Oryzias latipes: one gene and its partner. The protein of the gene in region 1 purifies or fractionates together with the protein of each later gene. This does not show direct contact. Links are inferred from orthologs where the notes say so. Each region holds a gene or a part of one and is shown on either strand. Other genes may lie near its edges.

The links. Proteins that work in one complex are often made in the same cells at the same time.
Region 2: the proteins of dpf1 (region 1) and bcl7a purify together in Homo sapiens (affinity purification with mass spectrometry; 3 studies listed by BioGRID and IntAct, counting the BioPlex papers as one, with this or other methods). This does not show direct contact. The link is inferred for Oryzias latipes from reciprocal best matches to the Homo sapiens genes DPF1 and BCL7A.

Annotation. Positions count from the first base shown.
Region 1 is NC_019871.2:18,133,554-18,137,849, reverse strand, and holds the start of dpf1 (zinc finger protein neuro-d4), read right to left. Parts: upstream 2,801-4,296; 5' UTR 2,694-2,800; coding exon 2,587-2,693; intron 1-2,586. UniProt on the Homo sapiens protein: May have an important role in developing neurons by participating in regulation of cell survival, possibly as a neurospecific transcription factor. Belongs to the neuron-specific chromatin remodeling complex (nBAF complex).
Region 2 is NC_019870.2:1,211,988-1,215,924, forward strand, and holds the start of bcl7a (B-cell CLL/lymphoma 7 protein family member A), read right to left. Parts: upstream 2,801-3,937; 5' UTR 2,694-2,800; coding exon 2,602-2,693; intron 1,054-2,601; coding exon 803-1,053; intron 706-802; coding exon 556-705; intron 37-555; coding exon 1-36.

The DNA.
Region 1 (4,296 bases):
GCTGTTTGCACACAGAGCCAGTTATTACATGGAACTCATTTAGCTGGGCTCAGTCAGGCAGGGCAGAAATATCATTAGACAGGACCTGCCACAACTGCCTCCAACACCACAGCACACACTGATCTGCATCTCCCCCTTTAACCAGCTCTCTGCTGAAGGAGATGCCTCATCCACTGCAGCTTTGACTCAAACAGTCTCCTGTGTGACTCCAAAGGACACATTCACCACTTTTAACACCGACATTTCAGGACAAACGCTCAAAAGTATGGGAGGTTCACATTGTCTTTTAAGCTAAATAAGTATTTGCAACTCCACAAATCCATTTCAGTGGCTTGCATTTAACTGAAAATAAATTCCTCTTGAGCAATCCTAAAATTCTATATTATATATAATATTTATATATAAATATTGAAGGGAAATGTGATCAAATGCAAAGAAAGCTCCCCTCACTGCTGCTCGCACTGCATTTGAAAACACGGTGCTGCCATTGATTCAAAATGCAGAAGTCCTGTGGAAAATGGGCAGAGGAGAAGGGAAAGCAAGGCAAAGAGGAAATGGTTAAACAAAGGGATGGACTGAAACAAGTGATGGATTGAGAAAGTGGCAAAGAAGGAGGGAGACGAGGAGGAAGACTGGGCAGAGGGGGTGATGGGAGGACAGAGAGGAAATCACAGGAAAAAAGGATAGAGAGTAAGAGAGATTAAATGATTCTCTAATCCAGCAGAGAGAGGCCGACTGGATGAAGCTGGTTTGCTGATATGCTTTTGCACACACATGAAACCCTCCACTGTACGTCCACACACGTCCAGCCGAGCATGAGCGGGCTGCACAGCTTGGCTGGATCCTGGGCATCAATGGGAATTAACAAACACGGAATTAATTGCAATTTACTGCTGAGACTCAGCTAGCTTTAAAGACATTTTGGGACACAACAGGCTTTGTTTCTGCCTCCGGCACGCAGCCAGCCCCCCCTGTTAGGGCTGACTTTGAACCAAGTCTTTGGTTCTTTGGCTCGATTCACAGAATGGGGGCTCTAATTTACAAGTCTCCATAACAAGTTTGTTTGCAAACATGCTAATTTCAAGAGTGTATATCAGAGCTCATTTGGTGCTTCAACCAGACCATGATAAAGTCATCTAGAGGAAAGACCTCTAAACCTGATGCAGACTTTCAGCTTTTTAAGGGTTCTGCACTGAAGGTCCAAACAGACACTTTGTCATCCCTCATTTGGACAGTCTGTGTTTTCAACACTAGGATGTAGTTCATTATCCTCTGGCCCAGCTGCCTTCTGACTTTTTTCCTCTCATTTTTCTCCTGTTGCCTCCCAGTTCTGCTGCAGACTCCTTGCAAATCAGTCAAATGAATCCCGACATGGTTTCACTGAAAGTCTCTGGGCGCAACCTGGCCACACGGTTGCTTAGCTTGGGCATGCAATGGAGGAAGAGTTGAAAGTGGAGAAGAGAAAACAGAGGAGAGCCACATCCTGAAGATTCTCCATCCCAACGTCACCTGCCCGCCTCAAAATAAACATTTAACAGTCAAATAACAGCGACTGTGTGGATGGAAATGACCCACCTGACGATTCACTCATGATTTGAACAACAAATGGTGAAATACCATCACAGCCATTCAGAGCAGTTTCTTAATTGGCAGTTCCGTCCACGCTCCAAACTGTTCGTTGATCTGGGTTTGCGTGAAATGTCGCCGGCGTGTGCGCGCCCCGGCGCGGTCTGTGCGCTCAGGTGAAGCAGCCGAGGCGCGCAGGTCTCCAGACTTTTCTTTGTTTCAAACTGCTACAGTTGGAGCGCTGTGGTGCCGGCGGGTTGGTGCCTGCGCCTTTATGCGTTATGCGGGGGAGATTAGTGCCAGCACCCGCTGACAGCCGCGCGGTGGCTACCTCTGTCTTTGGCCGGGAGCATCAGCGCGCGCCGCTGCATTCCTCCAGAAAAAGACACCCCCCCCCCCCCTCCTTCCGAATAAAAACATGTGCAAAACGGACCGTTAACGGACAAACTTTAGGGAGAAGGGGCCGCTTTAAACACGCCACCGGCTGATAATCATCTCACTCTAGGGTACAAAGCGCCGGCATCCCATTCAGATGGAGTCAGCGTGGGAGACGCAGTGTATTTACCTCCGCCTCTCCATCTCCCACAGGTCCAGTAGTTCGGCTGCAGCCGGAAAGCCGCTCCGAGCTCCGTCCTGCCTCTAAAGACGCGCGCTAACAGGTTCTGGAGGGCCATGTTAGCTCGACTCAGCCCCCAGCCTGGATCTGACCGATCTTTTGGGTTCATACACCGGCAAGGGACATGCCGGGTCACCCAGAGCTCCCCCAGCATTCCTCCATACGCGCGCGCGCTGCTGCTGGCTCGGGTACGGGATGTGAGGAACCGCAGCGCATACTCAGTGACAAAAAAAAGGACACCGACACGAAATCCCGCAAAATAGGCTAACTTTTCATTGGCATCATAATCTCGGTCTCCGCCGTTTACATCAAGCGTGTGGTGGAGCAGGATCAGAATTAGAACATAAGGAGATGACGCTGACAGCATGCTCGGATGTTAGGAGCGGAGAATGAACGGTACTCACGATTTGAGGGGGTTCTGCACCGCTGTGGCCATTTTGATATAGTGTGATAGAATGCAACACCGCAGAGCCGGTGGTTTTCTACATGTAATGTAGCATTTCAATTTCATTCATTCTCTGGGGCTGCGGCTTCAGCGCACAGCCAATGGGAGGCGGGAGCGCACCGTGGCTGCTTGTGGGAACTGTAGTTTTGGCGCACGGCGGCGCGGAGGACGGACAACAGATGATGACTACAAATACCGGCGGGGGTAGGGGGTTCCAGTGGTTCAGCGACCCGCCTCGTACTTGAAAGGTAAGCAGAGCCGTCCCTGTCCTAATGTATAGAAAAAAAGTCCAGTTGAGCCTGGTGGAGCTTCGGGATGGAGATCAGCCTCACATGTGAGGACAGAGGTCGGGACTACTGATCCCACACAGGAATCTCGAACAAAAAATAGTCTTAAAGGATTCAAACAAAACTGCATTTGGATCATTTTTTGCCTTGTGCACAGGAGGGGGTAGACATCACAGCCTGAAACACTGGAAAATCATAAAACAAGTGTGCATGATAACTTTCAGATGTGGTTGGATGCACAGAGCCGTGTCTCAAAGCTCCGAGCACCTTTAATTATTCATTAATAGATTGAGAGTGGGCATGTAATTGATTCTTTCAGACATTTGTCTGTCGTTGCCTCCTCGCCTGAGAAGTGGGAACCCCTCCAATTCGTGCTGTTCCTGTCGTCTGCTGCAGGGATGGACGGAGGGAGGCAGGAGGACGAGGGGTAGGAGCAAGGAGGCCTGGATTTGTCTTTACAGTTTGGCAGTGGAGCCACAGTAGTGGAGCCACCACTCTGAATCCAGTGACATGTGATATTTATAGATCTGTGCTAACAAATATTTAATGAACATTAGCAAGCAGCTCGAAAAGGCCCCACTGCTCAAACCAAACGCCCTGCGACAGTTTTTGTGTTATTTGTGAGGAAGATTTTCAAACAAAGGGAATGTTTTGAAGGACAATAACAAATACATCAATACTGTCCTAAATTAAACTTTATTTTATAAAAATAAACGTATTGGAAACATGAAATAATTCACAGATTTTTTTTTTTTTTTTTTTGAGTGAGGAAATCATGCCGTGATCGCTGATTTCATGAATGGCAAAGCTGCCTTTTACACTTTGACCACAGGGTGGTGCTAAAGCACTCTATCGCACAGAATGTGGGGGTGACGTCGAAGTTTACGTCCTCCTTCGCCCCGCCCTCCGTACGCACGCTCTGTTGTTGTGATTACAAGTCATGTTGAAGTTTCGTTTCTTCTCCCGCGTCCCGATTATGACATAAACACCTGAGCAGCGATGTCTGAGGTCCTGATGAAGGAAATTGAGAGAGTTTCCATGAAGCCGGAAGAGGGTCCCGGCGGCGCGCGGAGTTTCCTGTTGGTGGACGAACAGGAAAACCTGCAGGTAAAGTTAGCCGTCAACAGTTAGCCGCTAAGCTAACGGAGAACCCGCCTATAGAGAGGCCTCTGTGTGTTACAAACGTGTTCAAGCTGATCCAAGTGAAGTCCGGACAAGTAGACGAATGAAAGCTGTCAGTTGACATTGGAGGGTGGGGGAGGTCCAGGGCTTCGAGTAGGAAAATCCCCGGTGAGTCATGCCGGGTGCCTGAACCGCTAGGGGACGCAATAACGTTGTTTTGTGGCTGCAGCCATCGATGAGTTATATAGCGATAACTCATT
Region 2 (3,937 bases), on another chromosome or scaffold:
CTCTCTCTGAGGTCTCTGACGAGGGCGTGGTCTTACCTGTGGGTCAGAGGTCACAGCTTGGATCAAACTGCAGTCCCTTTTGTGGTGCTTTACTGACACCCTGTGGTGAAATGAAGGAACTGCAACTTGTAACGAGATGTAAAGGTTCTCCGTCACATTGAAGCCCATCAGGACAACTATTGTTGTAATTTTAGGGTTTATAAATTGAATTGGTCGTATTTAAGGAATTCTGTGACAAATTGGGATAAAGGTTTGTCTTTTATTCCGTCAAAGTATTGGATTCGTTCAGTTTTGCTTCAATTAAATCTTAATTGGTCTTTCTGAAGATCGGCCATGATGAGGGCGCCGTTTTCACAACGCATCAGGGCGGGGCTTCACACAGAGCCTTTCTGATTGGCTCAGACTGTCTGACTTCATTTCCTCTCTGTGCTCTCAATCAGAGCCCGTCTGGAAAACACGGTTGACGGTTGAATTCCCTGAGGGCGGCGCTGAGGCTACAGCTGCGCCGAGGGGTCGCTGGCTCCAACCAGCTGCTGTTTGCATTTGACCTCTGACCTCTCTTGCTGTCCGGGCTCTGCTCGCTCTTGGTCTCGCTGTTCTCACGGAGCGTGGCGGCGTTGTTCTCGGGGGCGGGGCTTGTGCTACAGCTGTTTTCCTGCTTCACTGGGGACGAGTCTGCGATGGAGCTCTGGTTGCTGTTGTCGTCTGAAGGAGAAGCACGCTCAGCCTTTATTTACATTCATCAGAGAACGACCTGTTGTCATGTCCAGCTGTGACCTCAGGTGGGGGGGTGGGGCCTCACCGTGCATGTCCATCATCCCCGGAGACGAGCTGTTCTCCGGGGTCGTCACCTCTGAGCCGTACTTCTCATCTTTGCCCTTTTTCTTGTTTTTGTTTTTCTGAAAACGGAAAATAAGAATCATCCATTTTGAAGAGAAACCCCGGCTGACAGGTGTCAGAGGCGGACTCACGTCCTCAGATTTGGGCTCCGTCACCGGGACCCACTTGTAGATGCGGAGGGACGTGTCTCCCACCGTCACCCACTTCTTCTCCCTGAAGAGAGGAAACCATCAGGACAGGAAGCATCTCTGACTTTAAGGGGAAAACCTCATCATCCTGACAGAAGCGCCTTTCATTAAAAAACCAAAAATCACATCAAAAGAAGATTTTTTCCCCTTAATTATATCAATAATAAATCCTTTAAATATATATGTTAAAAGGGATTTATGTGAAAAATGCTATTTTCTCCTCTTTAAAAATCTTATTTTAAGATTTCAAACTGATTTTATTACTTTTATATTTTACAAAATACATTAATTATATTATTGATTAGTTACCGATCAGATGTATATATACAAAAATCTTAAACAGCTTTATTATTCATAAATGAATATGAAGTGTGTGTTGGAAAAAAATATTTTTCTATAATTTATAAAAACCAACAAAAAAGTTATAAAAATAATGTCACTAAATGATCAATATATTGATTATTGATCAGTATGATTCGATTATTTCCCTTGTTTTTCTAAATCACTACTTAAACCTTTAAAAAAGCTACATTTAGGTGTTAAGGTAAAATCCCTCTATCTAAATAAACAATTTTGGTATTAAAATTTCTCATATATAAGAAAAAAATGTAAACTGAAACAAATGTTTAATCCTTAAACTGATGTTAATAAAACTAAACAGAAGTTAAAATGTGTTTTAAAAATATTTTTTATTAGGAATGAATTGTTGCAATTTACAAACAAAATGTTTAACTTTTTTTAAATTTGGGGGAATAACTGACTGAAACTGTTTTGTTTACCCGCCTAAAGTTTCTGGTTCCGGTTTGTTTATTCCGTTTTATTTTCTTAACTTTAATCGAAAAAAATAAACTTCTGACTTTGACCTGGAGACGTTTGATTAATCCACCCAGACAGGCAGAAATTGAAAAAAATACCGCCCCCCGGCGGGGTCACGCGGCTGGATCCACGCTCCTCGTGTCCGGGTGATAACCGTATATGTGCGGCGGAGAAGCTGAAGGCGGTTAAAGGGTGATTTTCCGCGGCGAACCGGTCGCTCGGCGCCGCTGGCTGCGCGTTCAGCCATGCATCTCGGCGGACTTCCCTCTCCCAACCCCCACCGACCGAGCGCTGCTCCGTCGGACCCGAAGGGCGACTCCGAGCGCTGCCTTAAAACTCCTCGCGGGCCGAAGAGCCCGGACTCCGGAGCGTCATCGAACGGTCCCTCCGTCCGCGCCGGGTGTTCGTTTGGCCGGCGCCGCTCCGCTCGCGCTCCCGGCTCCGCAGCGAGCAGCAATGGCTTCATGTGACTGCATCGAAATGGCTTCTTCTGGGTTCAGCCCTAGCCGTTAAAAATCGGCGGAAAAACAGCGGCTATGCGACGAACCGGTTCCCGCCGAAGCCCGCCTCCGACCGGCGAAGACCGGTACGCCGGTGCGGACCGCTGCACCTGAGCCGCGGCGGGATCTGCCGTCCAGAAAACGTCGTTTTCTTTCAATTTCATCCGTCTCCGTCTCGCTTCTTCCCTCTCCTCCCCCAACAAGAGAGCCTTTCTGCTCCCGGGTAACGAAGCGCTCCTTTCCCGGCGTTTACTCACCATTTTCGTACTTTCTCGATGGCGGCCATGACCCTCTTGATGTCATCTTTGGCCCTGCTCCGGGTCTCCGCTCGGACCGACCTGCCCGACATTTCCGCGCTGCTAAAATATTTTTAAAGCTCGCCGGCAGTTCAGACACAATGCAAACAGTAGAGCGCACAGAGAGGCCAGTGCGCCTGCGCGGCTCCGGGGGAAGAGGGGGGGGGCGGCTGCGGCTGCGCGCTGAGCTCAGATCAGATCCTGCTGAGCGGCGGAACAAAGAAGCCGCAGCCGCCTCCGCTCTGCCCCCCAGGTCTGCCCCCAGAGCCGGTACAGGGTGTCCGCCGCGGCAGGAACACAGCTGTTCTGTTTTTACCCACTCACTTGTAAAAAAAATCGCCATAAAAAGAGAAAAAGTTTGACTCTTTGTCATTTTTGTTGGTATTTTACACAAAAAGAACAAAGCAGCTTTACCGCAGAGACATCAAAGGGCCGGAAACACCAACATGGAATTAGAGGGAGGCTTTCTGATTCAAACTAATGGAAGTTCAGAATCAGAAAGCCTTTATTATCATTGTTACACAAGAAACTTGTGACAACGAAATTCTGTTGCTCTTAGATATATGATCCATAAACATCTGAGCTCTTCATGCAGCCACACGGTGTCGTCTGGTCTGTTTACACACTTTCAAATCCAAACCGGTCTCCAGCGAGAGAGAGAAGATACTGCCTAACAGGTATCTACCAAATGTTCGGCTTAGCCGCTCAAATGAATCCAGGGTGTTGTCCACAAACAGATCTTTAAATCTTGTGTTGCCCTTCTTGTGCCACTCCTGAAAACCCCTGTCGTGAAGGGAGGGTATGAAAACACTTTGAGGCCATCACCACCAAAACACCATTTCTGCTAAATGTTTATTATTTTCAATGATTTTTTTTTTGGTAGACTTTTTTTCATTTAACATAATTTAAAATGTGCGGTTGCTATCCACGTTTAGCTTAGCCATGTTGGGTTCTGGTTGAAACTATCATGACTGTCACACTGTGACATATAGTGAAGTTACGCTTGTGACCCGAGGCTGTCAGTACTGACAAAACATGTCCATCATATTTGGACCAACCAGAGTTGCCTCGTTTATCACTGAGGATGCGTTTCATAATTGACCCATGAAAGGGTAAAATACTAAGTTCACACTGGGCAAGCAGGGAGGGGCTTCTTCTTCTTCTTTCCCCACTGTTTACTATATCTGCCACAGTTGGAAGAGGCTGGGTGTGAAATGTCAGTGGTGCAAATCTTGCCCAAGACTTTTTCTTTCACAGCTCCATTCTGATAAATCACAGAATTCCTGCTGGACGTAAA